Xenopus tropicalis: one gene and its partner. The main gene of each other region encodes a partner of the protein of the gene in region 2 in a complex. Links are inferred from orthologs where the notes say so. Each region holds a gene or a part of one and is shown on either strand. Other genes may lie near its edges. The genes, in order: fchsd2 and itsn1.

Region 1 (15,454 bases), about 160 Mb from region 2:
GGAGTGTGCCACAATAACTACTATGTAATCTAGGCAAAAATATGCCCTTATAAATTGTTGTAACTACAGCTCTCCAGGGTTTCTTGGAACTCGCATCTGCTTCAAAATCTGAGCATCGGAAAAAGCACGGGAGCCAGTGTTTCACTGACAGGCATGATGCTGTTTATTACAGGCCCTACCCAGTTACCCATCATTTTCTTTAAATGTGCCACATGGTGTCACTGAATCAATGAAGGCAAGACACACCTACAACGAACAGTTTATTACAGGCCCCTCCCACTTACCCATCATTCTGCATGTATGTGCCACAGCTGATCACTAAAGCAGTAAAGAACAAACACGCTAAGATATGAGAGACACCTGATGTATTGTACTTGTTACTGGTCCACTTACCCAGCATTCTGTGCGTCACATGGTATTGCTGAATCGATAGACAAGAAACACCTACAAATGAGAAACACCTCATATAAACAATTTGTTACAAGCCCCGCCCATTTACCCAACATTCTGTGTGTATGTGTCACATGGTATCACCAAATCAATGCCATCACGCCTAGATATGAGAAACATCATATAAACAGTTGGTTACAGGCCCCTCCCACTTACCCATAACTCTGTGTATGTGTCACATGGTATCTCTGAATCAGTAAAGGCCAAACACACCAAGACATGAGAGATACTTGTTATAGGCTCCTCCCACTTACCCAGCATTCTGTGTGTGTCACATGGTATCACTGAATCAGAACACACCAAGATATGAGGAAAACCTTATGTATTCTACTTGTTATAGGCTCCTCCCACTTACCCAGCATTCTGTGTGTCACATGGTATCACTGAATCAGAACACACCAAGATATGAGGAACACCTCATGTATTCTACTTGTTATAGGCTCCTCCCACTTACCCAGCATTCTGTGTGTGTCACATGGTATCACTGAATCAGAACACACCAAGATATGAGGAACACCTCATCTATTCTACTTGTTATAGGCTCCTCCCACTTACCCAGCATTCTGTGTGTGTCACATGGTATCACTGAATCAGAAAACACCAAGATATGAGGAACACCTCATGTATTCTACTTGTTATAGGCTCCTCCCACTTACCCAGCATTCTGTGTGTGTCACATGGTATCACTGAATCAGAAAACACCAAGATATGAGGAACACCTCATGTATTCTACTTGTTATAGGCCCCTCCTACTTACCCAGCATTCTGTGTGTCACATGGTATCCCTGAATCAGAACACACCAAGATATGAGGAACACCTCATGTATTCTACTTGTTATAAGCTCCTCCCACTTACCCAGCATTCTGTGTGTGTCACATGGTATCCCTGAATCAGAACACACCAAGATATGAGGAAAACCTTATGTATTCTACTTGTTATAGGCCCCTCCTACTTACCCAGCATTCTGTGTGTCACATGGTATCACCAAATCAATGCCATCACGCCTAGATATGAGAAACAACAGTTACAGGGCCCCTCTCACTTACCCATCATTCTGTGTATGTGTCACATGGTATCACTGAATTAGTAAAGGCCAAACACACTAAGGGGTATATTTATGCTGTGTAAAAAGTGGAGTAAAGCATTACTGTTGATGTTGCTCATATCAGCCAATCAGATGTTTTGCTTTGGTTTTTTAACTGTTGAAATCTAATTGCTGATTGGTTGCAACATCACCACATGATAAATATACCCCTAAAGGTGGCCACATGTGGCGATGTCGCACGAAACATCGTCAGATCCGCCACACACCGTTCAGGGCTGAAACAGCAGATAAGGAGGTAGAAACAATAGGATTTCTACCTCCTTCTGCCGATTCAGCCCTGACGGCAGATTTCGGTCAGGCGCCTTCTATGGCGCCCGATCAAAATTTTCTAACCTGGCCGATCGGCGAATCGACCGATTTCAGCAGCTTCCTGCGATATCGGTCGACTCGCCGACATGCCATACACGCACCGAATATCGTACGAAACGAGGTTTCCTACATTATTATCGGTGCGTGTAAGGCCAGCTTAAGACACCAGAGACACTTGCACTTACCCAGCATTCTATGTGTGTGTCACATGGTATCACTGAATACATAACAACAAAACAAACCAATATAAGGAACACCTCATGGTATTCTCTCGTTATAGGCCCCTCCCACGTACTCATGATTCTTTGTTTTATGTAACATGGTATCACTGAATCAGTAACAACACACTAAAATATAAGGAACGCCTCATAAAAATCTGCTTGTTACAGGTCCCTTTTATTTACCCATCATTCTGTGTGTTACATTGTATAATTGAATCAGTAAAGGCCAATGTCAGTGTCTGTGTAACTAGTTGCATTATTATGTATAAGCTGCGTTTCATAATGATTTGCTGAGCTGCAGACCAATTTGCACCAATCCCTGTGTTCTGTTATCGACTTTATTTTCATGTATTTTTCTTTTAAAATATGAAGCATGCCCTGTCATGAGTAGCTGATAACCCGTCTCTGCTTCAGTTCCATTCTCCCTGCTCAGAAAGCGATTGTTACAGCGAATGAGCTTGTGCAGCTAAATATTGCATGTTGTATTGCAGAGCCGACAGCTGGAGTCTGAAACCGGCACTACAGAGGAGCACAGCCTAAATAAAGAGGCTCGGAAGTGGGCTACTCGGGTGGCACGGGAGCACAAAAATATCATCCATAGTCAGCGGGTAGGTACTCCATGACCACACTCCAAGGCAAAGTAAACCTGGCACCAACCCCAGGGGAATAAGGGGCTCATGGGGTACGGACTGAAGAGAAGTTTTAAATAAGATTATGAAAAATGTGTTATTCTTAAACTGTTTTAACCCAGTAATTTTGAGTTACTCCACTGGATGGGGTTACCACTGTCATACGTCAACCTCCATTATGTATAGACATAAAAATGCTTGCATTGCACAAATGCAGCCTCTGTATCAGCTCACATGCCCTCTATGTTTGCACAGAGATGTTCCTACCTCCCCTACAGCAACTACAAACAACTGGCCTATTGAAATAAACCTTTAAAAGGAAACGCATTTCATGCTTAAGCACTTTATTTATTCTGTTTACAGTAGAGGGCGAGGGCACACCTTATTGTGTACATTCCCGCTGTGCATATTTGCATGGATACTTTAGAAGTGGCTGATATATAATATTTGGCTTGCCTCAGGCATTCCCTATAAAGCTCCACGCTGCAAAGCTGTATTTATATAAGAGCAGAACATGTTGCTCTGTGAGGCAGGACTGCAGATGGGCAGTGACCATTGCAAGCTTTAGCTGTGAGTCTAAAGGTGGCCATACACAGGAGGATTTGCTCATTTAGCAAAGTCACCAAACAAGTGGATCTTTTCGTGATATGCCCACCTAAGGTGGCAAACGATTGAATTAAAACTGCGGGCAAAGGCGCCATCGGGAGGACCTGTTGGGGCTGCCCATACCCGGGCAGATAAGCTGTTGAATCAGTCGAAAGGACCCAAATCAGCAGCTGAAATCTGCCCCTGTATGGCCACCTTAAGCCAGTAATAATGAGCATTAGCTGACTGGCTTTACACCACAGTATCTGTGGTCGTAACCAAAGTTTATAGTCTATAGCAGGGGTCCCCAAGGTTTTTAGGGTGAACCCAGTAGGGGCTATGATTGGTTATTTGGTAGCCCAATGGGAACTGCCAGACTACAGGGGGCTCAGTTTGGCAGTATACATGGTTTTATGCCTCCAAAACCTGCCTCCAAATCAGAATTTTAAAAATGAGCATCAGCTTAGAAAGCCATTGGTGAGCCACTGGTTGGGAAACACTGGTCTACAGCCGGGGCCCCAACCTTTTTTACCCATGACCCACATTTAATTTTAAAAAGAGTTGGGGAGCAGCACAAACATGAAATGTGTACCTGGGGGGTACCAAGTATGGGCTGTGATTGGTTATTTTATGTGGACTGGCAGCCTACAGAGAATCTGTTTGCCAGTACAACAGGTTTTTATGCAACCAAAGCTTGCCTTTAAAATGAGCACCTACTTTGAGGCCACTGGGAGCAACATCCAAGGGGTTGAGGAGCAACATGTTGCCCCTGAGCCACTGGTTGGGGATCACTGGTCTATAGCCATAAGTCTATTTTACTAATGTCTGTGGGCCATGCTTTAGCTTAGCCAAGCAGTGTGGCAGCTTTCATTCATGCTTTAAGCAATATATGTTGTAGTAACACAGAAGAAACTCAACTGTACCCAATAGATGTACATCATTTATAAGAAGGGGCTGATACTGTGCGATAGTATATAGGTTATAGTAAGGTAACATACATATGGATGCCTTCTTGCTGTTGGAGAGCATCTTTCAGTGTCAACGCCAGGAAATATTCTGACATAGACTAATCTCCCCGAAATGCCATCCCACCAGCTAGAATGTAAATCTCCGGTGGGATGGCATACGCGGCGCGGTGATTTGCCAAAATTGCCTTGAGAGGAAACTTCGGCGATTTCGCTCCGTGTGTTTTCACCCTTAGTCCCACTGGCAAACAATACAGAGAGAATCCTCTTTAGCTCCTGATATTTAGAATACTTCTAATTCCTGCATCAGAGCAGTTGATTCCCCCCCTAGGCCTGATGTGCTGATCCGGGGAATACATAACCCACAGTACTGCCTGCAATCAGAAAATTGTACTACAACCTTCTGTCTCTTTTATACAGGCCCTGGAGGAGCTGGAATGTCAGACCACCCCAGTTTCAGAGCAGAGCCGGATGGAACTGGAACAAAAGATAGAAGAGACTAGAGAGAATATGCGCAAGGCAGAGGTAAGTTGTGCCATCTGTAACACTGGGGTAAATCGGGGGGCCAACAAGCAGTGCAGTTGTGTTGTGCTCCCAGATTTTAGAACTTTGCTTGCGCACAGAGGCAAGATTTGAAGCAAGAACTTGCAGCAAAAGTCACTGGTTGCTGATGAGTATTATGTCCCAGTAAGGGTTAAGGCCTTAGGCAAGAATATGAGGACTCTATCTGTCTCTGGTTTCACGACAAAGGGCAATATTCTTTGTCGCCTGATTCTCTTCCTCAGGTGTGACATTGTTTAGCGTCCCTGTGTCTGGTTGCTGCAGGGGTTAGGTTACCGTATGCCCTTTCAGATCAGAAACTTCAACACTTCATTGGCCTGGTTACTTTCCCATGGCTGGGGGAGGCTGTTTCGTAATGCACCTATGACTTTCTGGTCCGGTATTTCCCATACCTAGAGTGTAAAGTCCATAAATATTGGATGCAGATCTACCATCTGTACCGCATTGTTAAATAAAGGGGAAGTAAGAAAGATAATCTAGGCTCTAAATTGCCCTATTGCTGCTGCTTATACCTCAGATTCTTACTTTCATTATCTAACTCGTGTTTCCTTATCTAACTCGTGTTTCTCCAGTTTCCTTAATAAAGATTCACCCAGATCCATTTGGTTTTGCCCAAATGCTCCACGAGCAATTACAATTACTAGCAACCGCTTTCAGGGGGCATTTACAGCTGAGGGCACTAGCGTATCTATATAGGGGGCAAATCCAATGACCTATTTTGTGTTGCCTTTCTAATAAGGTCTATATTTGGATTTGTAATATAGCTGTGAGAACATTAGCAGCATGGTGGCACGCACATGAGGTTGCAGGAAGATACTGGATACCTAGGGCAGCTAATGATTATTTGTGCTTGATTAGACAGTGAGAATTGCCAAGCAAAAGCTCTACCCTCCTACCCTTTCACTTAACATGTAATTTATCTATCTGGTTATAAGTTACTTATCTGTCTTTGGTAACTGATGCCTTGTTATGCTTCATTATTGCTAAGTCTAATGTCCCACAGGGAGATTAGTCACCCACAATAAATTTCTGCTAACGTGGGCAACTGCTCTCCCCTAAATACTTTTCCACCGGCAGTAATGTGAACTGCCGGTGAGAAGGCATACGCATCACTAAGATGCCCGACGTTTCCTCGCAATTGGCAAAGCAAATGTCTTCCCACCAGGAAGCCAGTGATTTCTAATTCAAAATTCAAAGGAAATGTGTCCATAGAAATGGTTAGCACTGCTTCTGCCTCTGGATCCTAAGTTCCTTTGTGACCTGGAAACCATCTGCAAGGAGTTTATGCTTTTTCCCATTGTCTGTATAGGTTTCATGCCAGTACTTTAGCTTCCTCCCACATACCAAAAGCATACAAGCAAGTTAATTGGATGCAACAAGATTGGCCACGTGAATGTGATAGGGACCTTGGAATGTAAGCTCACTGGGGCAGGGGCTGATGGGAATGTGATAGGGACCTTAGATTGTAAGCTCCACTGGGGCAGGGACTGACGGGAATGTGATAAGGACCTTAGATTGTAAGCTCACTGGGGCAGGGACTGATGGCAATGTTATAGGGACCTTTGAGTGTAAGCTTCACTGGGGCAGGGACTGATGGGAATGTGATAGGGACCTTAGATTGTAAGCTCCACTGGGGCAGGGACTGATAGGAATTTGACAGGGACCTTAGATTGTAAGCTTCACTGGGGCGGGGACTGATGAAATATGCCACTATATAAAAAACAATAACAAATAATGTTCTATTCCTGTACAGATTACAAAGCTAAAAGCTGAAGCCCGACTGGATCTGTTGCGGCAAATCGGTGTGTCGGTGGACACGTGGCTGAAGAGTGCAATGAATCAGGTGATGGAGGAGCTGGAGAATGAGCGCTGGGCAAGCCTCCCAACCCTGATGAATAATGGCTCCTCCCATATGGTATAGTCACATTACCTCTATATATAATATAATATAAAATATATTATATTAAAATGCACCTTATTTACGGTTGCAGCTACAGTCACTGCAAAAAAATGGCAACCTGCAGCTCATGAATGACTTCTTTTTCTATTATTGCCCAGTGGGTTCTGTTCCAGCTGTTGCCAATCTCCTATTCGATTGGGCCACATATGTGCTGTCTCATGTGTGCTGGGTATATCATTTGGGTAGTTACTAATACTAAGATCCTTGTCATTCTGTGATTGCATTAAAATGGAAGTGAATTAGGATTTACAGTACTTACTGTAATTAAATCTCGCCATAAAACCACAGGCAGGAACAACCCAAAGCAATGTATTTCCGAGCTGCTGATTGTAAGTTAAATCTATTACCGGCCTATTGCCCTTTAACATGAGGAATTCTCTATATTACAAGTTAATGAGCCAGTGGGTGTCTCACCATAAATCATGCTCCCAGGTTATGAAACGCTGGCCGGCAGTCTGATAAACTGTCTGGGAGGCACCGGCCGATGAGTGGCACCTCATTTACAGCAAATGTAAATGAAAGGAACACAAGGCTGGGAATGTGTAGTAATTGCAGCGTGAGTCTCCGGTGTCACAAGGGGAGCGTCTCGCTTACTCATTAACTCCGGCTTCTTGTGCTGAAAGGCAGAATTCTCTAAATGCCAGTGCTGAAAACACTGCAGTAAATAAATAAAGTTGTACAGTTACACATCTGTTTAAAGAGACAGCAGGCCTTGTACCACAAAGCTTACAGTCCAAGCAAGATAGACACAAATACTGTAGAAGGGCAATAGGTGCTACCATTCATCGTGTACTATGGATATCTGTGGATTTGTCAGGTTTTACACTTTTTTACACTTCACCTTTAAGTATGTTATAGAATGACCAATTCTAAGCAACTTTTTAGTTGGTCTTCATTATTTATTTTTTATCGTTTTTGAACTATTTGCCTTCTTCTGCAGCTTTCAAATGGGGGTCACTGACCCCGGCAGCCAGAAACGATTGCTCTGTGAGGCTCCAGTTTTCTTGTTATTGTTACTTTTTTTTATAACCTTTTCTATCCAGTCCCTCTGCCATTCATATACCAGCCTTCTCATTCAAACCAGGCCTTGGTTGCTATGGTAATTTGGACCCTAGCAACCAGATAGCTGCTCAATCTCCAAACTGAAAAGCTGCTAAACAAAGTCAAATAACTAAAAAAAAAAAATACAAATAATAAAAAATAAAGTCCAATTACAAATTTTATCAGAATATCACTTGCTACATCACACTAAAAGTTAATTCAAAGGTGAACAACCCCTTTAAGGTGAAGAATAGCCACAGCGTTAGGTGTGTTGTTGGTTTTGATGTTCCCCCGACAGAAGGCCTGATTTCTTTGGTTGTTTGCTGACAGGGAGGCACAGATGTGGATCGGGAGGATGGAGAGGAGTTGGAGGACAGCATGGATGCCTTTGATGACAGCAGCTCCAGTCCTTCTGGCACCCTACGGAACTATCCGCTGACTTGCAAAGTCATCTACTCTTACAAGGTTTGTGTGAGTTCTTGTATCCACAGGCCAAATCACCAGCAGGGTTCACCATGGGGCATCTGGCAAGTTATCAGGGTTGTACAATAAGTGGTGCTGGAACCAGTGCTAAATAGGAGTTGTGCTTTAAACAGCAGAAAATGCCATGAACAATACTGAGAATTGCCTCTGCAAAACACACAGAGATAATTATCAGTAAATGATCAGCATTGTCTTTTTTAGTAGCCACGACAAGTAGCTGCTACTAGTAGCTCTGTGTGTCTTCACCCATAGCCTTATAAATGTACAATATTCGCTGTTGCTTCTGGGATTTACATCTGAAGGAAAAAGAAATCATATCTGCCCAAGTACTGTAACATCAAAAAGAACTATATTGCCAGGTTTCCTTTATCATGGTTAAGTCTGTAGGGCAGACTGATTGGACACTATGGGTTTTAGACCTAGGGCCAACTTTGTTCTTGTTACTAAGTTTCATCCTAAAGTATTCATTGGGATCTGGGTATAGAATTGATTTTCTGCTGCCAAAATCTCTGCCAACCCCTGGTAAATGGCAGCAGGTTCTCTATAGGGGCTTCTCTAATCTTTAACTGCTCGCCTTGTAGGCCTCTCAGCCTGATGAGCTGACTATAGAGGAGCACGAAATGCTAGAAGTGATTGAAGATGGAGACATGGAAGACTGGGTGAAGGTACGTTGGTCAGACACATTATATTGGCCACAGCAAGAATATGTATTGATCATTAAAACATTGTAGTTGCTTTAAAATGTATATCAGATATTCTATGTACTACTGAGTCATTGCATACCCTATTATTGTGCACCCAGAATAAATTTGGTATTTATATCTATGGGTGGGAGGCACCATATTGTCTCTCTTTAACATTGCAGTTTAAGGGTATCTAATTGCATGCACGGAACATCACCTTTGTATATTATTTTTTTACATAATGCCATATAGGTTATGTCTGCTAAGGCATTCTCAATAGACATTGAGTAAACCGCACTTTGATAGCCTGGCTTGGTTTCCAACAAAGTCCGTAGGAAACAAACTGTATTGTGTAAGGGTGTAAGTACCCAGATTTTCAGGGGATACTGGTTGGTAGTGTTATACTGTATGTCTCCCATTAACTCCCATTGAAGCCAAACAGATCACAGGGTGAAGTGCTATATTCACAAGGCTAATGAGATTATACAACGTGTTTGTCTCCTTGGCAGGCGAGGAACAAGTCGGGGCAGGTGGGGTATGTACCAGAGAAGTACCTCCAGTTTCCTGCATCCAACAGCCTACTGAGCATGCTCCAGTCCTTGGCTGCACTCGATAGTCGCTCCCACACTTCCAGCAACTCTAACGATGCTGATATGGCCTCAGGGAGCCTGAATGGAGACACCAATGGTAAATCCGCTTTCCTGCTACTTTATGTTCCCAATCAATGTTATTAATCATTACTCTTTATTTCCAGTTTACAGTGCCCTCCTCAGGGGCATTTGAGCTTTGAGGTTTTGGCAGCTTGAGCTATATTTTCATTTAATAGGCCTTATAGGCCAGTAACTTGCTGATATTCCTATTGCTAGGCCACACTGGCTACCCTCCCTTTCAGCATTTTGACTCTGCATTTTCTTTGTTCCTCAGTCTGTTTCGTGAAAGCACTTTATGAGTACGATGGCCAGACCGACGATGAACTGTCATTCCCAGAGGGGGCGATCATTCGAATCCTGAATAAGGAGAACCAGGACGATGATGGATTCTGGGAAGGAGAATTCAACGGACGCATCGGGGTCTTTCCTTCTGTGTTGGTGGAGGAACTCACTGGGTCTGAAAATGGAGACGCCCAGTGGTTTGGCGATGTTCAGGTAAGCAACATTGGCTAAATAAGATGCTATATTTTTATTTCTTGGCTCAGCTGCTCAACAGCACCCTCTAGAGGCCACACACACTATAGCTGGCCATGAGCTCTGGGTGTGGGAGATTCTCTAAATATAGAATTCACTACTAAATATAGAGAAGATGATTTAACTGTCGGCACGTGTAACCTCTTGTTCACAGTGCTGGTCTCCACCCTGGGAAATGACTTTTCTATAGATGCCATAATAACTACCCTCAGAACAGGGGTGTGCTACATATAAAGCAGCTTTTGGGCAGGAACGGATATATCTTCTTCCTCGAGTTGCACCTTTCTTTTTATTTAGAAGCTGAACCACAGATTTTTTTTGCAGCAGGAAGAAGAGTTCCTACATCTAACTTGATCCTAGGCTTGTAAAGGCTGATGGGAGTTGTTGTTCTGCTTTATTGCCCCCTTATAAACATAGGTCAAAAGTATTTTTCTTTTATCCAAAAAATATTTACTTATTTTTGTTTCCCAGATATCGCCATCTCCGAAGCCGCAGAACTCTCTTCCCCCGCTGCCTCTATATGACCAGCCTCCCAGCAGTCCCCTTTACAGCCCAGACAAGAATAACGCCCAGTACTTTCCTCGCTCGCCTTCTGGGAATGGTAAGTATCTAACTCTTTCTATTAGTAAGTGAAATAACAGATATTTTGCCTTATCAGTGTTGTAAACCCTATCTGCCAAGTTGGGCAGGCTCATTTAGGGTGAAGTATTAAAGGAGCAATTTGGTAAGAAATAGGGATGCGCCAAATCCAGGATTTGGTGTGGGATTCAGCCAAGACTTTATCTTTTTTGGCAGGATTCTGATTCGGCTGATTCTGATTCTGGTCACATGAACAGAAGTAAAAAAAAAAAAATGTAACTCTTCCATAGACTTACTTGCATATGCAAGTTATCTATTTTTTTAATTTATTAGGAGTCCAAGTTGGTACAATTTTTGCCGACTCCAGGTACCCACAATTGCTTCCAACTCCACAGCTCTGTATAAAAAAAAAAAACAATGCAGGAATGATCAATTCTGAGTTTGATCTCAGTATTTATTAAAAAGCTCTATATTTCTTTCTTTGTTTAGAAAACAACATGAGTTTGGATTCCCCAGGGACGTCCCACCCACCCAGAAGCATGCCGGAGACTTACCATAGCAAGCTGCGCCCTGTAAGTTATCTTTTCTTCTATCTAGGTTCTCTGTAATACTGATGAATCTAGTTATCTGGACTTACTACTGAAATCTGTCTGCTTCTGTGTGCATCTACCCAGCAGATATTTAATTTAAGAGTAGCTAATGTTACATTAGGCCATCTGCTGGTAGAAGGTAGTATAGCGGTTTATATGAATTACTCCTTAAAGACACACACTCTAACCCGTATTGCTCCTCCAATCACAGGTGCGCGCTGCCCCTCCACCACCCACGCAGGCACAGAGGCGGCCGGCCGAGAAGGCAGAAGATGTCGAAATAACGTTGGTGTAACCACGGGTTTCCCAAACTCTGCTGACATCAAGGCCAAAGGACCTGTTTGGTCGAGACGTTCAGGCACCTTCTGCATGTAGCGATCCATGTCATATCAAGGGAGGAGGATTTTCTACGGCCGCGGACTTACATTGGACATTTTGTGCCTTTTTTTTTTTTTTTTTTCTTCTTTTTAATATAAATGTTATCAAGCCTCTTTTAGCACAAGAAGCAATGAGGTTAAAGTCGTGCAATGTAGGTGAGATCAGCTTTGTACAGAACGGCAGGGGCGTCCCTTACCTGCTTAACATTAGATGGAGACGTTGGGTACCCGTGGATACTGTTAGGCAGTAGCCTCTTCTCTGCACTGAATATTCCTTCTCTGCATGTTTGTACCTGGGAATGGGTGATGCCATAGTGCTTGCCTCTGTAGACTCATAATTCATCTCCTTGCTGTTCTAGCGAAGCTGGCAAGCAAAATGGCAGCACTTGCTCTAATATATAAAGGCTAACAAGCAAATATGTAATTCTGCTTATAAAGGCACCCAAGAAAATGTTGACCATCAGTCCGCCATCTTCTGTTAAGCAGTTTGGGCACCCCTGTTCTGAGCATAGACGAGCCCCGCAGAGGTTGCACCAATGAGGACGCTTGGAAGAAGCACCTCCCCCGGCTCCTGTGCCAAGGCTGTAGAATGACCCAATACATGCAGCATAGTCATAGAATACTTCTATCATGCGCGTTAGTACAGTATATTACTGTTGCCATAGGAATGTGTTAAGACTGTCCGATATCTCCGGTTCTCTGTATATTGAACGGATACAAACTCATGGCACCTCCTTCCTGCCCCCAGAATCCCGCGGTGCATTGCAGAGCAAAGTGCTGCCAACGTGGCAGGAAAGGAAGGTGAATTCAGACTAAAAGGGGGGGCTGGCTCCTCTCGATTTTATTCCCGATGATACATAACACTGTACCGTGTCTCTGCCCATTTCTTCCATCATTAATCATTCAGATACTATGTAACAAAGTGATGTATGGATATTTAAGCAGCTCCAGAGCTTTGGATAGTGTGAGTCTGAGAACCCACTCTGTAACTTGCACGCCTCTTTCTGCTGTTGGACTACGTTTCCCAGCATTCTCTGCTGGTTGAAACTCCCGGGGCCAAAGGCTCTGCCGGACCATAGGAAGCATATATATATATATATATATATTTCAGAGGCTTTCTCTTATCTGCTTGTACTTTATTTTTCTTCCTTCTATTGGAAGCACTTACGGTGCTGCTTGTGTAGGCAAATGACGGAACTCTGCAGAAAAGCATCCTATCAGCATCTGATTGTAACTGTTTCCCATTCCTGCTCCCTTCCGACTTCCTGACAGATTTCCTGACTTATCTGGGACTCTTCTTATTGTTTATTTCCCCTTTATCTCTCATTGGATGAATGCGACTGTGCTCACAGACGCCCCTTTACTGGCGCAGAGGATCCATGGGCACAACTGAAAAGCAAAGAGCCAATCAACACATGGATTTTTTTTTCCGGCTATCTGAATTCCACGTGTTCTGTGCCAACCTGGCTGAATTAACTGCTTTTGTCCATTAAAAAAAACACAAATGGAGGTACTGGTGACATCACAGTGACATCATTGTGACATCATTATACGCAAGCAAGTCTCCATAAGCGTTTTGCACCTTGTGGTCTTAAAAAACATGGAGCAGAGACCACAGCCGGGTCCGGAACCAAGTCCACCAGGGGATAAACCAGTGACGCCAGTATACGATGATAATCCACGTGGGATTCGTTACGTCTAAATTACATTTAATTACAGTGCAAATGTTTTAACCCTGTATATAGGTTTTATTGGAAAAATCCACAGATCGATGAAACTCTATTTCCCCCCCCCCCCCTATTATTTTGTGCCAATTGTAATTTAGGAACATTGGCTCCGCCCCCACACCCCGACCCCCCCCTGTGCTGATTGTAGAGAGCAGAATGTATGTAAGTGGTTGGCCGGCGTGGCGCCAACTGATTGTGCAAGGCTTTTTTTTATAGAGCCAGGATTTTCCTTGTGCAAAGGAACGGCCGTGTTGTTCTAGGTTGATCATTGTTCTAGGTTGATCATTGTTCTAGGTTGATCATTGTTCTAATGCTTGAATGGTATCTTCTTGGAAGATTCACTTTAAAAAAAAAAGAAAAAATATCTTATTTCCCCTCGTTCGTGTCTTATTTTCTTGTCCCTTTATCGACTGCACCTTCTGTAAATGTGTTTATCCGACACGATTTGTACATTAATCCTATAGAATGGAAACGGGACTGCAAGTCCCAGCATGCTTACCCCAGCTGAGCTGGTAGGGGATGCTGGGAATTGGAGTTCCTATTACAGCTGCAGTGCTATTAACTTGTGTCTCTCGGACCCCAGCAATCTACCAACCCCTGTAGAGGATTCTGGGAGCTGTAGTTGCAGCAACCGCTCGAGCGGCACCAGTTAGTGATCAAATTTATAGGCTTGGAAATGGGTCGCCTTCCTGATATTGTCCAACTTCCAGCATCGGGGCAGTGATTGGACAAAATCTAGGAAACGCCCACTACTGCCTAAAGTCGCCCAAACCCTGTTATCCCCCAGTGGCCCTATATCTTGTAATTTCCTCTACTGTCGGTGGGATAGACAGGGCCCCCAGCTTCTCTTCTGTTAATCCCCGGCCAATTCTAGTCTATTCATAGCAACGGTTTTGTCAAAACAAGTGTTATTTGAAGAAAAAAAAAAAGAAAAGAAAAATCTTTATATTTAAAAAAAAAAAAACAAAAAACGGAAAAAAAACATTTCTGTATGAGCTGCTACTTTATTTAACAGAAAGATGTACAAAAGCCTCTTTTTAACCTCACGTAGGACATTTAACCCATTCCCGCCATGTACAGTGTCAATACACCCTTAAAGCAGAGGTGCAATTCTTCTTTGTATTGGCTGTAAAAAGTTTGTATTTATTATGTATAAAAATGTTGAATAATAAAAAAGTGGAATATCTCTATCCGGCCTGCTGTGTCTTTCTATTGGTGGAATAGAGCCTTGCTATTTGTCCTCATTTTTTATTATTTGTGGGTAATATAAGAGTTTTTGTTCAGAAACTCTTCAATTACAGCAACTATCTGGTTGCTAGGTTTTGTTACCTTAGTAACCAGGTTATAACCTGGTTAACCTTGTTATTATTTGTCCTCATTTTTTATTATTTGTGGGTAATATAAGAGTTTTTGTTCAGCAACTCTTCAATTACAGCAACTGGTTGCTAGGTTTTGTTACCTTAGTAACCAGGGAGTGGTTTGAATGAGAGACTGGTATACAAATAGGAGAGTACCTGAATAGAAAAATAAGTAGTAAATAGTAAAAATAACAAAATTGTAGCCTCACAGAGCAATCGTTTTTTGGCTGCCAGGGTCAGTGACCCCCATTTGAAAGTTGGAAAAATATACAAAATAAATAATGGCCAATTGAAAAGTTGCTTAGAATTGGACATACTGAAAGTTAACCTAAAGGTAAACCACCCCTTAGACAAAGGTTGATATTTCGGATACAGTAGATAGTTACAGATAGTTGCCTTGTCAGTAAATGAGAAAAGACAAATGGGTTGGTATTAATACTTGTGATACAGAGTTGCCCCAGGGACTGACTTGGTAGCCATAATGAAGTCAGGGAGGAGTTTTTTTCCCCATTGGTGGCAAACTGGAGACGACTTCAGACTTTGTACCCTGGCCCAACAGGAATCTAGGTAGAAAATATAGAACTTTATGGTTGTGTGTCCTTTGTCAGCCTTGGCTACTAATATGTATCTTCCATTTCTGGCAGTT
Region 2 (15,976 bases):
CAGTGCAAATGTTTGTGGGAATGACCAAGTCCCATGGAATTCTGTGACTCAGTAAATGCATGTGAATAGGGGAACCTCCAGGACTAAAACTGCATTTGTTTGTAGCCTATACATGAAATTAATTTTATCTAAACAAACGAAAGTTAGCCGTCAACTTATCAAGCAGGTATGAAAGTTATAAAAGGAATAGTAGGGAATAAGGAGAAAATGACAAAACTCTGTAAATCACTTGCACTCTTTTCAGCATCACCCACACTTTCCTTTGCTTCAGGATAGTCTTTCTGCCTCATTAACCTCCAATTTCCATGAGAATCCCCCAGTGCCTGCGATGTGGCCTTCCTTTCATTCAGCCCTTGCCAAGCTAGCCCTACATTTTAGTGAGACATCAATAGAAAATGCATCTATTCCAGGCAGAATTAAGTAATGACTACAGCATTAACAATGTTTTTGTCTTTGCGGTTACATTTCAAACACTGCTAATCCCTCTAAACATCCTCCATGGCACCACTAACCGTGCCAGTAATGTAGGGCAGGAGTTCACGCTGGCGGATACAGCCGGTCTGCGCGGCTAAAGCTAGGGGGAATTATGTGAAACTGATGAAAAATATTAGTTAGAGACTTGTACATCTGCCCACTGGGTATATGAGACACACACAAGGGCCACTGCCATGATGGGGCTGCTTGTACTTCTTACCACCATTCATACTGCACATGGAATCTACTGCAGGACTTGCATTTGCTCATTAACCACCTTTCTGCCTATAACTGCTTACAGGGGAACTCTGCCTTCCCAACCAAAATTTGTTAAAGAGCCCCACGCAACACAGAAACCCCTAATATACCTATCACTGTAATCTGTTCCTTCAAAAAGTATGAATAAGTACCATTTTATATGCTGAAATGCAGCTGCAAAACAGTTCTTCTCTTTCTGCATCATTTGAAATCCTGGCAGGGGAGGAGGGACTAAAACATTCATGTAACAAATTGTAACAACTTCTCCACAGCGTACGGACAGCATGCAGGAACTACATAGCCCACAATGCCTTGCAATGTGATGTTCCTTTCCTTATTGACATCACGTGTGCAGGGAATTGTGGGATTGGGAGTAGGCAGGCTGAAGGCAGGCTGAGGACAGGCGACTACTGTTACATTGTATTTGAGTCTCAAAGTAGTCAGCCAGATCAGCAGGGGAACAGGGGGCGGCGCTTAGGGAACTGTTCTAAACCATATTATTAAATAAAAAAATCATGTAAAGATTGTGTATTTTTTTAACACTAAAGTTGCTTGAATTATGTTGTGTTTGGGTGGAGTTCCCCTTTAAAACAAGCCATACATGGTAAAATCCACCAAAGACGTGGATCATGGCCACTGACACTAGGGACGGGCCAAGCCGACTGGGTGCCCTAGGCAACCCGTTCGGCTACCTCGCCCCTGCACCTACATTGCGCACCCCCCCCCCCCGGCGCAGTGTACGATGCAAAGCAGTGCAGCACACAACTGCTGATCGCGTACTGTACTAGGGGTAGGCAGGAGAGGCTCCTGCCTGGCGCCCCCCAATCGTTGTGCCCTAGGCAGCTGCCTCTTCTGCCTACCCCTAATTCCGGCCCTGACTGACACAGTAACCCAAATACAATCATTTAGCACGCAGTGATCAGAACTCATCATTGTGGTCGATTGTCATCAGGAGATAACCCACCGATACAGTCCTTGCCAGACAGGATTTTAAACTTGGGTTGGAACCCTAAAAAAGTGCAATCCTGGACTTGTGCAGGGTCCCCCAAGGAAAAATAAAATGAATGAACACTATTATAATTAAGTTGCGTTTCCAAAATTGTACATTATTTTCACAAAGCATCATGATTAAGAAATATTTTGACTCTATTTTGGTTGCTACCAGTCCCTGTTCAATCTATTTCCAGCCCAAAACAGAGAGACAAAGAGAAGATCCATCTACTGTAACCCAGGAGATAACATTTACAGGCCCATTTATTAACACTCTCATTTTAGTGGTTTCGAAGGTTTTTGAAACCGCAACTAGATTCTCTTTATCTAAAAGTCATTTATTAAAAGATAAATTGAAAAGGCATAAACAAATGTAATTGTGGAACGAAAATGAAAAGAACACGAAAACCACACATTTTTTGTGGTTGTTACGTTTTTCCACACATATTCACAGACTTTCAAATGAAAAAAACCTCTAAAACCACAAACTAAATATACAATCTGCCTAGAACACCTCCCACTTGGTATTAAACAAATCACGTAAAACTAATCCAAGTGGGGATAGCCACTGCCAGCTGAAAATGCCATAGCTAGATGACAGAGGGAGGCATTTAATTAAGCAGCTTTTATTAGGTATTAAGGAATATATGTGTAAGAGATTGTTTAATACAGACATTGAATGCAGCATTGTGTCATTCTTATTACTCACAGAATGTAATATTCCTAGAAGGCTAAAGAGGCCTATATCAGAGCACAGTAGAGAGTGACCTTGGCTCGTTCTGCAGTTTGTTGCCTATGATTTATCCATATCAGCTGTTTCCCATATAGCAAAATTAATCATGATCCATTTACATCTGGAAAGCAATCAGCCTTGGATTCCACCGCACTGGAATTATGGTACAAGGCCAACTTGGTTTCACACCAGTCACTCAACGGAGAACTCCTACCAGGAGAAAGGAAAAGATGCCTGAAAAATAACCAAGCAAAGCTGACCACACACACAGTTTTCATACAGACTAGATGATTACCATTAAGACTATGAGCCAACCTACCAAGCCATCTAGCTGATATCGGGGTGTGAATAAAGGCACGGAATAAAGCCGCAAGGGTGCAACCAAACCACAGGTTTGAGAACAGGTATGAGAACAGTAAGGCTGATGCCACACGTGGCGTTTTTACGCTGCGTATTTTCTAATTCTCTCGGTGGCTGAAAAACGCACAATATCATCATCCATAGAAATAACTTGAAAAGACTTGAAGGAAACCACACAATGTGTAAATACGCTAGAAAACGCCTTACCACAGATTTTTGAAGCGTTTGCCTTAATACGCCGTTATTTGCACAGCAAGCTATTCCTATGTATACACAAAGGCAGCTGCCAGACCTAGCGGAAATGCGCTGCGTTTTTGACTATTTCGCACTATTAACACCATGGGAAACGGGATTTGCTACGTCACCAGTACTAGGCTGAAAAACGCCATAGTCAGGGGCTGTGTGGCTTGTGCGGCCTTTTTAGGCTGAGAAAATACGCAGCGTAAAAACGCCACGTGTGGCATCAGCCTAAGGCCACCCATGTATATCACCAAACTGTACCAATGAGCATCCCAGATCAATGTCCTCAAATTTAATCCATCTATGAAAAGCTTAAGCCTAGGAGAATGTTCAAAGCAGAATGGGCCAAAACCTGCAATATCTTGCGATATAGAGTGAATTTAGGATAATTTGGCAACCTCGCCAAGCGAGCGGATATTCTTCCGGTATCCCCACCTACGGGGGCTAATTCGGTAGTTTGGCCCTGGGGAACACTGAAATAGGCGCATTTCAGGCCAGATGTTGGTCAGGCAGGCCCGTCATTTGTGCCCCTACACGGGGCAATAAGCTGCTGAATCGGTCTAAGGGACCGGTATCGGCAGCTACAATTGGCCCGTGTATGGCCACCTATAGACTTGTCCCTTGACAATAGGCTGCTGATCCCTATTAATATGCTGATGATCCCCCCAATGGCACTCCTATAAGAGGTGTGGATTGGAGACTGGGTGAAACAAATCAAAACAGAAGAGCTTAGAATTGATCTGGCAGAGTTACATGGAGTTATACTCCATTTTGAAAACGTCACAAAAAATGCTGTTAAAATATTGTTTATAAGACAAATCCACAAAAGTGTTTGTAAACTGTCTTTCTTTCATCAAACACTGAAAAGTGGTGGTTGAGTTGGAATTTAGGCAAATTTCTGTTTGGCGTAAAACACTTTCTCCATATTCAGTTTTACCACCACTTTTACTCCAAATAAAAGGGCTCTCTCCAGTTTTGTGAATTCCCCAAAGTATTACAGGCATATTATTATTATTATAATCAATTACAGAGCACCAATAGATTCTGTACATGAGCACAACAACACGAGGGCTCTGAGCACAAGAGCTTACAATCTAAGGGACACACCTGTGTGTAATAGTTGGTGGCTAATTTCTCCTGCAATATCACAGCTGAATAATCACAATAGTAAGTGAATTGGAGCCATAAAACCTGAATGTGAAAACCTCTCACAGCTGTTCAGAGACAGAACCCACATCGATCTGTTTAATTAAGAACATTCTTTCTGTTTAGACACTTCTTGTGTGCACTGGCTACACTAGGCTCCCGAATGGACAACATTAATGTTTGGGAAAAACAAAGCAGTGTATATTGTTGGCAACAGGAATTGACCAGTGCCCACCAGTACCCTGGTGTCTGCTTGGGACACGAATTTAAATGAAAGCCTGAACAGAATATTAAAGGGGAACTAAATTCTCTATCGCCTTTTACCCAGTAGTGCCCCAGCGCAGTACCAATCCACAATCGCATCGATGAGTCTCCAAAAAAAAAAAACCCTTTTCCCCCATACCTGCAGGCAGTGAGACAGGTGGCTGTTATGTTAGGCTACGCCACCCCTGGCTGAGGTTCCCCGACCGCTAACCAAGAGCGCAGATACTGGAAACTTTCGTTTATTGGACCTGATTGCCTGTCAGTGCACATAATACTGCTCAGAGATAAGCATCATGGAACCTGCGAATGAAACTGATGCAGCCAACCAAGGCATCGCCCACCCTGCTATACCGCTCTGTATTTGGCCAGAAGGTAAAGGAAAACATATGGTAAAAATTCCACTGCCTAAATAATGTTAAAAAGTAAATTTCCCTTTTATTTTTTCATAGCATATTTGTTAAGAATAAGATACACAGCAAATAATGTACTCCCTATTGTAAAATATAACAATATCATATGTCACCAAGGAGTTCTATTACCATATAATGCTTTTATATAGGTCATGGAACTCCAAGGTGACTTATAGTATCTAATATTTTACAACAAGGGGTACTTTATTTGTTATAATACACAAGTTTCAACAAGTCATTTCACACAAATTATATCACTGAGCATCAATTATGACTGATGAGATCACTAAGCATCATTTATAAGAATCTAATTGACAGGATATTCATGGCTCGTGTATTATAACAATAGCCCACACAGGTAACCTCAGAAAAATAAAACATCCTGAGACATTAGATATATACCCCCTACATGATAAAGGAACTACGTTTGCTCAGGAACAGTAACCTATAACAACCAATAAGATGTTTGCTTTTAAACAGGTGACCAGTAAATGCAACCTGTTGATTGGTTGCTATAGGTTACTGCACATGGGCAAACTTAGTGCCTTTTATTACATAACCCCAATAGCACCCACAAGGAACCTCAGAGAAATAAAGCATCCCGAAACATCCCTATTAATATTAAATAACTGGGGCTTCATTTATCAACAACTTATCTGCCCGTGTAAGGGCAGAAACGAGCGGGCTGGCCGACCGATATCTGGCCTGAAATTGGCCAGATATCGATCGGCCAGGTTAAAAGATTCAGTCGGATCGGCTCGTTGATGCGGTCCCCGAACCGACTGCCCCATTGCCGCCTAAATAATATATTTTTTTTAACTTCAAGCTCCCCGATATCACCCACCCGTAGGTTAAGATCTGCTTGTTTGGCAAGGTCAACAAGCAAGCGGATCTTCTCCCGATATGCCTACCTACGGGTGGGTGATATCAGGCTAATTCTAATTCCCTAGGGTCAAATGAACGCATAAAACGATGGGCATAGGCGCTGTCAGATCGGGGGCTGCATCAATGAGCCAATGAGGTCCCCAATCCAATGGAAAAATCAAACTTGCCCGATCAAGAGCTGGCCAATTTTAGGCCAGATGTCAGACGAGGAAGCCCAACGGTGGTGCCTATCCACCAGCAGATAAGCTGCCGCATCAGTCTAAAGGACCAATATCGGCAGCTGAAATGAAATCAGCCCGTGTATGGGCACCTATAGTCAATACATCCAGTTAACAAGAAGGGATAAGCTATCAGAGATGCAATCTCAGCAAACATTTTTTAACCTGCATTCTTGGTGTGCAATTAGACTGAGGTAGCTCAATATTTCAAAAGAGAAGAATTTATATTGGTTTTACTCAGTATGTTACATGCTACAGACTTAAGCTGGCCATACACGTGGCGATCTGACCACCGGTCGCACGAAACATCGTCAGATGCGCCACACACCATTCAGGGCTGAATCGGCAGGTAAGGAGGTAGAAACAATAGGATTTCTACCTCCTTCTGCCGATTCAGCACTGAAGGGAGATTTTGATCAGGCGCCTTCTATGGCGCCCGATCAAAATTTTCTAACCTGGCCGATCGGCGAGTCAGCCGATATCAGCAGCTTCCTGCGATATCGGTCGACTTGCCGACATGCCATACACGCACCAAATATCGTACGAAACGAGGCTTCGTACGATAGTATCGGTGCGTGTATGGCCAGCTTTAGGGGGCCATACACGTAATGATTTGCTCGTTTGGCAAGGCCGCCAAATGAGGAAATCTTTCCCCTGATATGCCCACCTTGGGCTAAATGATTGCTTTGCAATGAATAAAAAAGGAAAAGTGGGAGCGAGAACTGCATCAATGAGCAGATGCGGCCCCTGATCCAACGAAAAATGTTTGCCCAGGTATCAGTCGGGGAAGCCTGTCAGAGGGTCCCATACATGGGCAGATAAGCCGGACCGAATTAGCCCGATATCGCCCACCCGTAGGTGGGGATATCAAGAGAAGATCTGCTCGCTTGGCAACCTAGCCAAGCAAGTGAATCTTACAGTGTATGGCTACCTTACGTCTGTAAAGGTTACAAATAGAAGCTGTAATTGCCATACTCTAGAAATGGAGACATAATACTGCTAAAGATGAATCAGTAGTGTATATGCTTGCTGCTGCAATGAAGCCAGAATTCCCCCCATACATGGAATGTTGCTCTGCAACTACAGGCTGATCCGTTGCTGTCCCTGCCACACATGTTTGTGCCTCCTAAGAGCAGTAACAAGGAAGAAGCTTCCCCAAGGCTGATAAAAATCTCTAACATTTCTGTGGGTGTTAAAACATGCTATTTCATAGGCCCTTCTGTTTCTTAGAAATATATCCAACCCATAACTCATGTTTAGCTACAGGTGTTTCAAATACGGGGAAATTTCCCCATAAACAAAGAGCACAGCACCTACTATGGATGGTAATGGACTACTATGGTGCAATCTTTGTCAATCTTAATTTTATCATGTTTGATGTATGTTTGCACTATTGTACACTGTTGTGAACAAGTTGTGATAATCAGCAAGAGCGTTAGGAGCTACTTAGTAGCAGCTACTTGTCACAGGTACTAAGCACCAGAAAATACCTGCTAATACTTAGAATTGCCTCTGCTAAAACACACAGACAATTACCAGTTAATATCAGCATTGTCTATTTTTGTAGCCATGACAAGTAGCTGCTAATAGTTATTTGTCTTCACCCTTAGGGCTGTGGCACACGTGGAGATTAGTCTTGAGATGCCATACGCGTCGCTTAAGTTACTTAAAGTCACTCGAAGTTTCCTTGTGAAGCAACTTCGGGAAACAGAAGCGACGCATATGCCATCCCACCGGAGATTTACATTCTTGCTGGTGGGATGGCATTGCGGGGAGATTAGTTGCTCCCAGTAACAAAGATTTATAGCAGGGCGACTAATCTCGCAGTGTGCCATTGCCCTTAGATGCAAAAAGTGAAACTACCTGGGATACCATACCTCCACTGATGGAGAGTCCAATGGTGTAAAACGCGTTAGGAGGGAGGAGCTCAGAGACCATGGAGCACCAAGGTAGAGACCTGCATCAGGTTGGGTACCTGCAGGATACCCAAAAAGTGTTCGGAACTCGTCCAGAATCGAGTTATGTCGACACTTGAGGTCAACGCAACTCCTTCTGCTGGAGCAGGTCAGGCTTAGGGCAAGCAGGTACAGGTTGGGTGCGGGCCTGAAACAAACAGACCCGGCAGGTCTTTACACTAAGGCACCTCTGTCCATTTGGTCTGGTCAATTTTTTTACATTTTGGATACATTGATGATTTTTTTGTGCACCAAATAATCGTTTCACGTGTGACCCTACTACCTGCATTACAACATGGTTTATTCAGGGTCTGGGGCAGTATTCACAAGTGTATCAGCTGGATTATTCTGAAGTACTTGTTACAACTGATTGTTGCAAATCCCACAAAGCAGTAGATGTTTTTCTTAGTCCAGTATAGTTAGTTTTGTTATAGTTCAGAGAGTTATATTGTCATGTAAATATTATTAACTCAAGTTTATAGCTAGGGCTATTATAAAGGGGAGATCTGCCTGTTTAATAAGCACTTCATGCTTGTTCCAGAACACACCTAAAGGCATAATGTAAATTCATTTATACATTCTACCTCTGGTCTGGTTTACCTTTAAATTAATTTTTAGTATGATTCAGACAGTGATATTCTGAGACAATCTGCAACTTTTTTTTTTTTAATTATTTAGTTAGCTTCTCAGTAAACCTCCAATCTGGAATGTCAGCAGCTATCTAGTAAAATTTACCCTAGCAACCAGGCAGTGGAAAACTGGAAGATGACTACGGGAGAGACTAAATCGAAAGATAAGTAATTCAAATACTAAGGGGGAGATTTACTACTCCATGAACGGTCTGAAGGTGTCCGAATGCGTTTTTTCGTAATGATCGGTATTTTTGCACCTTTTTTGTATGTCCCACGATTTTTTTGTCGCCATTGCGACTTTTTCGTATATTTTCTGCGACTTTTTCGTCGCCATTGTGAAAAAAATCGGATTGTTTTTTCCGCCGTTTACTATCTCTCAATATGAAAAAATCACGATGGCGATGAAAAAGTCGCAACAATTACGATAAAGTTGTGACGGCGACGAAAAAGTCGGATTTGTGGATTAGTAAATCTGCCTGATTTTTAGAAGTGTACTTACGAAATGGTCAGTTCTAACCTTCACCCATTGATAAAAACGTTTTTTTTTTAAAAAATGCCATAGGAATGAGAACATGGGTGAGTTTTTATAAAACTCACCCATAAATCAGATAAATCTGTTGCTTACTTTTAATGTAAACTACCCCTTTAAAGAGGCAGCATGCCCCCTTGTTCAACATTGGTGATATTAATAGGGCTTGTGCTGAACATAAGTTTTGCCTATTGGTTTAACCATGAAAAATCTATGTTTTCTTGTTATTTCTTCAGTTAAACCAGGGATCCCCAAGCTTTCTTACTCATGAATCACAGTCAAATATAAAAAGACTTGGAGAGCAACACAAGCACCATAAAAGTTCATGGAGGAGCCAAATAAGGGCTGTGATTGGCTATTAGGGGCCTCTATGCACCCTATCAGCTTACAGGGGCTTTATTTGGTAGGAAATCTTGTTTTTATTCAACCAAAACTTGCCCCCAAGTCAGGAATTCAAAAATAACTCCCTGGTTTGGGGGCACTGAGAGCAACACCCAAGGGGTTGGGGAGCAACAGGAAAATGGGAGCAGCTTGTATACTGAATCTAATTATCTACCTTGCAAACTCCCTGTTTCCGCGTAAAAAAAAAAAATTACAACAAAAAACAGTTTTTCATGATGTAAACAATAGGCTAAAAGTACAATAAGCACAAGCTCTGTTCATTGCACTTATGTTGAACAAGAGGGTATACTGCCCCTTTATGATATTGTGGTAAACTACAATCTGTCCCAGACTGCGGGTATCTAAAGCGATAACCAGCTGAAGTAAAAACTCATCACATTCTAAAAACAGGAAAAACCCATCACACTCTAATAACAGGATGCAACTTACATGTTTTTATCTGTCCCTGACGATTGGCAAAAGGTCGGAACACGAATGGTTAGTAGCGAGACTATTTCGAAATACGACCGTACAATGATCTCTAATGTTGGTAGTACACCAAATTACTCAGCACAGCCAACAGCAATGAAAGGACAAGCAATGAATGAATAGGAGTACAAGCCAGAATAGGGTGGGTCGTTCCTCACAGAGGATCCCTTCATAGGGAGAATGAGAAAGTGTACGAAGCCCAGATACCACGATTGCTCTGAAACATTAGCTGCTTGCGTCATGTCTCCTAATCCAGCGCTGCACGTTATCACTAGGAAGGAGGCAATATAAAAACCTGCCAAAGCTGTGATGGGAGCGGTGACCTACAAACATGGGGGGGTGGGGTCACTGTGTAAGGGGGTGAGACTTCCCATATAGCCAAGCCTTTTCATCATTTATCAAACATTAGAGCTTCCACAACAGTGAGGAAAAACTAGCACAAGTGCCCCCCAACCTGCTCACAAGAGCTTACACTCTAGAGCACAGAAATTCCCCTAGGGCTAACCATCTAGGTGCAAGTACAGGTATGGGACCTGCTATCCAGAATGCTCAGGACCTGGGGTTTTGCGGATAAGGGATCTTTCCATAATTTGGATCTCCGTAACTTAAATCTCCTAAACATCATTTAAATATTGAATAAACCCAATAGGGCTGTTCTGCCCCAATAAGGGGTAATTATATCTTAGTTGGGATCAAGTACAGGTACTGTTTTATTATTACAGAGAAAAGGGAATCATTTAACCATTAAATAAACCCAATAGGGCTGTTCTGCCTCAATAAGGGGTAAATATATCTTAGTTGGGATCAAGTACAGGTACTGTTTTATTATTACAGAGAAAAGGGAATCATTTAACCATTAAATAAACCCAATAGGGCTGTTCTGCCCCCAATAAGGGGTAATTATATCTTAGTTGGGATCAAGTACAGGTACTGTTTTATTATTACAGAGAAAAGGGAATCATTTAACCATTAAATAAACCCAATAGGGCTGTTCTGCCCCAATAAGGGGTAATTATATCTTAGTTGGGATCAAGTACAGGTACTGTTTTATTATTACAGAGAAAAGGGAATCATTTAACCATTAAATAAACCCAATAGGGCTGTTCTGCCCCCAATAAGGGGTAATTATATCTTAGTTGGGATCAAGTACAGGTACTGTTTTATTATTACAGAGAAAAGGGAATCATTTAACCATTAAATAAACCCAATAGGGCTGTTCTGCCCCCAATAAGGGGTAAATATATCTTAGTTGGGATCAAGTACAGGTACTGTTTTATTATTACAGAGAAAAGGGAAATCATTTATAAAAATTAGAATTATTTGTTTATAATGGAGTATATGGGCAATGGCCTTTCCATAATTTGGAACTTTCTGGATAACAGGTTTCCGGATAAGGGATCCCATACCTGTACATTGGCTGAAAATCAAAGTGCTGAGACTAAATGACACCTTAGAAGGCAACAGATTCCTAAAAAATGAATACCTGGGAAACGCACTTCAAACAGAAATTGGACCGCCCTTACCAGGAGGAAGGATAGATAGATATAGATCATTTTTACATTACAATTCATGATAAATATGGCACTGCTACTTAATTTAAATTCCATCTAAAATCCAAATAATAATGACAAACTGAAATTTAGGAAACACATATTTTTAGCTATAATGCCTATTGCCCTGATCCTGTATACATACATACATAGCAGTAAGCCATATTTGTTCAGAGAGGTGCCCCTCTATATGACGGTTTATATATACAAAGAAAACCATGGGGTCTCAATGCCTATGTAAGTCAATGTACTGGCCCCCTATAGAAGCATTACAAGGACCTTGGGTCAATAAAATGTGTTTATATCTTTTGTAGTTATTATTAGTTGAAGAATATGCAGTTGTAAGTAGGTTTCCACTTTATGTTAAAGCTCAAAGTTTTGAGTAAATGTAATTGCTTTTCAGGCAACATTTATGTGTTTAGCCTTGACTTGTGAAACAGTGTTGCAATGTCACATCTGCCCAGGGTTCTGCTACATTGTTTCAGGAGTCAGAAACACAAGGCATATAGACAGAAGGATGCTGCTGTTGGTAGCAGATACATTGTATTAATGAATTGGTAGATGGCTATGCCATTCTCCCTTGGGTGGAGCCCCCCAGCCAGCACTGCTTGTCTCCCTAGAGTGCTCCCCTATGTTGGTTTATTCCATTGCAGGACATCAGCATGGGGAAATCACTGACATACAGAATTGCAAGCATTGCCATGTAATTAACTGAATCCCCAAATCCCATGTTGGCCGCCCAACTCCATATCCCTCAGCCATTTGCCGAGCCATTGGTGGCTGCAGCTGTTCCACCCCGCACATAATCCAGGCAAAGCATTAATCATATTTAATGGTGATAATAATGCGCCCCGGCACAGCTCTCACCTCATAGCGGTCCTCCACCCTCTCCTCTGCCACAGGGATTAGCACCGGCTATGTCCAATACGGCTCCCCTCTCAGACAGCTCGGCTGTATGGCAACATGCCCTCTGCTTCAGCGCCCCTCCTCCCCTTACTACTCTCCCAATGCCCGTGTCCGTACGACTCTCCCCTTGTGCCTGTAGTACAGTGCGGATCCCCTCACCCCGCACCGCCGTCCCCTCCCACCAATACTACGCACCCACACCACCAACCCGCTTTCTGACGTCACGCGGTGCCGGCCCAATCAAAAACAAGGAAAGACACGCCTATTCTGTAGCTTCAACCAATAGTATGCCGCGTTCTTTTTCTCCCTGCCATTCAATGGGTGTGGTGTCGTCATCACGCCAGCGAACTCCTCACATGACTCACACCGCTGGTGTCTACGGCGGCCATTAGCCTTGAGGGCGCTAACACTTAAACCTTTATGTGAGGGGTAAAGCATAGCATGTGACAAAGACAGATTGGAAACATTAATCCAGAGATAGGGTTGGGCAGAAAGGACGTTATAAGGAGCTTCCAGCCTCGGGAAGGCTATAGATACATGTCTATGAAGATTTTCATTCATCCAGGTCATGGTATATCTAGTATAAATAAATTTGAAGCAACTGAGAACTAAACAAGTCCAGTTGCTTCAAATTTATTTATGCTATAGATACATATTACCTATTCTTTAGTTGAGCAACTGTGGATTATGCAGGGTGCGATTGATTCATTTATGTAAACCACTTTGCTCAGACACAGATAAGGGTAAAGACACACGGAGATACTTAGTAGCAGCTACTAAACTCCAGAAAATACCCTGCCATAGACAATACTGAGAATTGCCTCTGCTAAAACACATGTAGAGACAATTATCAGTAAATGATCAGCATTGTCTGTTTTAGTAGCCGTGACAAGTAGCTGCTACTAGTAGCTCCGTGTGTCTTTGCCCTAAAGGGGCCCAAGACATTTTGCATTTTTACCCTTCACTCAGGAGCTTTGCACTGACTATGAAAGCAATACTTCAGCAATAAGGTTTCAAAGAGCTTTATTGAAACCAAGTTCATAGTAAATTCATAATTAACATTTGTTTCACAGAACATAAAAACATAAAATCATGAATCACAACACAGTTTTTATAAAAAGATACAGAGTACAATAAAAAAAAATACTTCAGAAATAAGGGATACAGAAAGAATGCGTTAGATTGGCAAGACAGATGTTGAGGTTAATATGCCAGGCCTTAAGATGGCTGCCGTAGCTATGCGTCACATGACAATGATGCGGGGGGACTCTGCAGAAGGGGCGCTGCTGAGCAGGGTCAGGGTGGGTTGTGCCGTCTGGCTCTGATTCTCCTCTGTTCCATAGATCCCAGGCGCAGGGAGAATTGGGGGGATCTTATAGCGTAGGGGTGTTAGGTTGAATAATGGAATGAAGGCGTTGTGGAAGGATGTTGGCTGTGTGAACATTATAAGGTCAGGGCAAGAAAGCTGTGTTCTGTGAGTAACAGGCCTGTACAGAATCACAGACTCATGATAGGCATTATGGGGATTGGACTCTTGGCTGGAAAATGCCTGGATACCCCTACGTTGTTTAATGGTACAGCTTAACAATAGAGGGAATAGCGAGGGTCAGAAAGACCACTTTTTAAAAGCAAATGCATTTAGAAATATGTCTGTCACTAAAAAGTTTACATTTTTGTATATTGGAAAGTTGTTCGGAATTCCTTTTTGTATTTGGGTGATTTTCCCCTTTAACCATTTATCTGCCATAGATCATTCACAAATACCTGACCTCAAGTACTGGACCACCAACACCATAAAACATATATTTCCAGGTTTTGTTCTGTTTTAAGTAGGTAATTCCTATTATTGTTATTGGGGTTCCTACCATCTGCACAACAAAACTATCCATCTTTATTAACAACTTGTTAGTCCTGCTGAATCCATTCCCCTGAGAACTTATTCTTCCCATGTGTGGGCTGTTTAAAACTGCCATCTTGGCCCATTTAGACTGAGTTGGCAGCTTACTGTCATGTGGCCAGCTTTACAGTTATATGGGGGAATGTAATATAGGTCACAATGCAAGGCACTAGGGCCAAAAGATCAAATTAAGATGGCAGGTATATGGGCCATCAGTCCGAGGACTGCATCAATGAACCAATGGGGTCCCTGATCCGATGGGAAAATCAAACCTGCACTATTGAGAACTGGCCAATTTTAGGCCAGATAATCGATCAGATAGGTCCATCGGGGGTGCCCATACATGAGCAGATAAGCTGCCGAATCGGTCTGAAGGACCCAAATCATCAGCCTGGGGTAGCTGTGAACCTGTGATTCTCTTCCTTCTCTCGTCTGTCCTTGAAATCCCGGAGCGAGCACATGCCCAGTAGAGAGGAAAGCCATATTTTTTTTCTAACGTTCAGCTTTAGACTCTACTGTGCAAGTGGCGCAAAGTCAGAGTCTAAGCTTTCAGAAGGAGCCAGCACTACACATTAGAACTGCTTTCAGCTAACCTATTGTTTCTCCTACTCCCATGTAACTGGAGGAGTCCCAAGCCGGACTTGGATTTCTTACTATTGAGTGCTATTCAGAATATCTACTGGGAGCTGCTATCTTGCTCCCTTCCCATTGTTCTGCTGATCAGCTGCTGGGGTTGAGGGGGGGATATCACTTCAACTTGCAGCGCAGCAGTAAAGTGTGACTGAAGTTTATCAGACCACAGGTTACATGGCTGTGGCACCCTGGGAAATGAAGAATATGGCTAGCCCCATGGGAAAAACCGATTACAATGCAGGATTCTGCTGGAGAAGCTCTATTAACTGATGGTTTGGAAGAAAATAGGTTTTCCCATGACAATATTTCTTTAAGGGTGCTCAGTGTAAAAAATTATTAAAGAACCAAACAGAAAAGTTTACCTATTGCAGCACTCCTTTTAACCATCACCATTAAAACGTAACATTTATTGATATAATAAAACCTTATTAGTTTTAAAGCCACTTAAAATACACACCCTGCTTTACCAAGAGCTGTTATAAGGTCATATTGGGAACTTTGTTGCGACATACAAATATAAACAATGTTGCCCGCTTATCACTTATGGTGTATTGTGATGAAATGTTCCCTGGGGTATGCTTATGGCTCAGCTGTATATTGTTGGTTGTAACCCCTCGTGAACCAAATAGGGAGATTTCAGATTAAGGGGGTTATATAATAAAAGTCACTAAGTTTGCCCAGGAGCAATAACCCATAGCAGCTAATCAGTAGGAAGCATTTACTGCTCACCTGTTTAAAAGCAGTCAACTTATTGGTTGCTATTGGTTACTGCTCCTGGGGTTTATTACATATGGGGGTAAGAGAGGACTCTCTCTTACAATCAATTTACTCCTCAGGAAGACAAAGGCATCACTGTGCCTCCTATCACATCATGACTTATTACCTTACGACGGTTTTCAACAACGTGGCATACACCAACATTCTATGTGTAGCCTTTAATATTGTAATCAAATCAAGAAGTGCGCAATTCCTATTTAGTATTTACACCTTCATTTCCTTAGGACAATCATGTTACCGGGATCAGCA

The links.
Region 1: the proteins of itsn1 (region 2) and fchsd2 are in contact, whole or in part, in a crystal structure (PDB 6GBU), measured with the Homo sapiens proteins. The link is inferred for Xenopus tropicalis from reciprocal best matches to the Homo sapiens genes ITSN1 and FCHSD2. Residues at the interface, in NP_003015.2 of Homo sapiens: Pro1076, Ile1078, Gly1098, Leu1100, Leu1102, Gln1117, Ala1118, Arg1119, Gly1120, Lys1121, Lys1122, Arg1123, Leu1136, Ser1137, Pro1138; in NP_055639.2 of Homo sapiens: Tyr576, Gln581, Thr582, Asp584, Glu585, Gln602, Asp603, Asp604, Asp605, Gly606, Phe607, Val618, Pro620, Val622, Leu623.

What each region holds. Positions count from the first base shown.
Region 1 is NC_030678.2:172,215,514-172,230,967, reverse strand, and holds the end of fchsd2 (F-BAR and double SH3 domains protein 2), read left to right. Parts: intron 1-2,577; coding exon 2,578-2,694; intron 2,695-4,685; coding exon 4,686-4,790; intron 4,791-6,579; coding exon 6,580-6,741; intron 6,742-8,157; coding exon 8,158-8,292; intron 8,293-8,891; coding exon 8,892-8,975; intron 8,976-9,502; coding exon 9,503-9,680; intron 9,681-9,917; coding exon 9,918-10,138; intron 10,139-10,648; coding exon 10,649-10,778; intron 10,779-11,245; coding exon 11,246-11,328; intron 11,329-11,557; coding exon 11,558-11,641; 3' UTR 11,642-14,640; downstream 14,641-15,454. UniProt on the Homo sapiens protein: Adapter protein that plays a role in endocytosis via clathrin-coated pits. Contributes to the internalization of cell surface receptors, such as integrin ITGB1 and transferrin receptor.
Region 2 is NC_030678.2:14,136,009-14,151,984, reverse strand, and holds the start of itsn1 (intersectin-1), read right to left. Parts: upstream 12,616-15,976; 5' UTR 12,382-12,615; intron 1-12,381. UniProt on the Homo sapiens protein: Adapter protein that provides a link between the endocytic membrane traffic and the actin assembly machinery. Acts as a guanine nucleotide exchange factor (GEF) for CDC42, and thereby stimulates actin nucleation mediated by WASL and the ARP2/3 complex.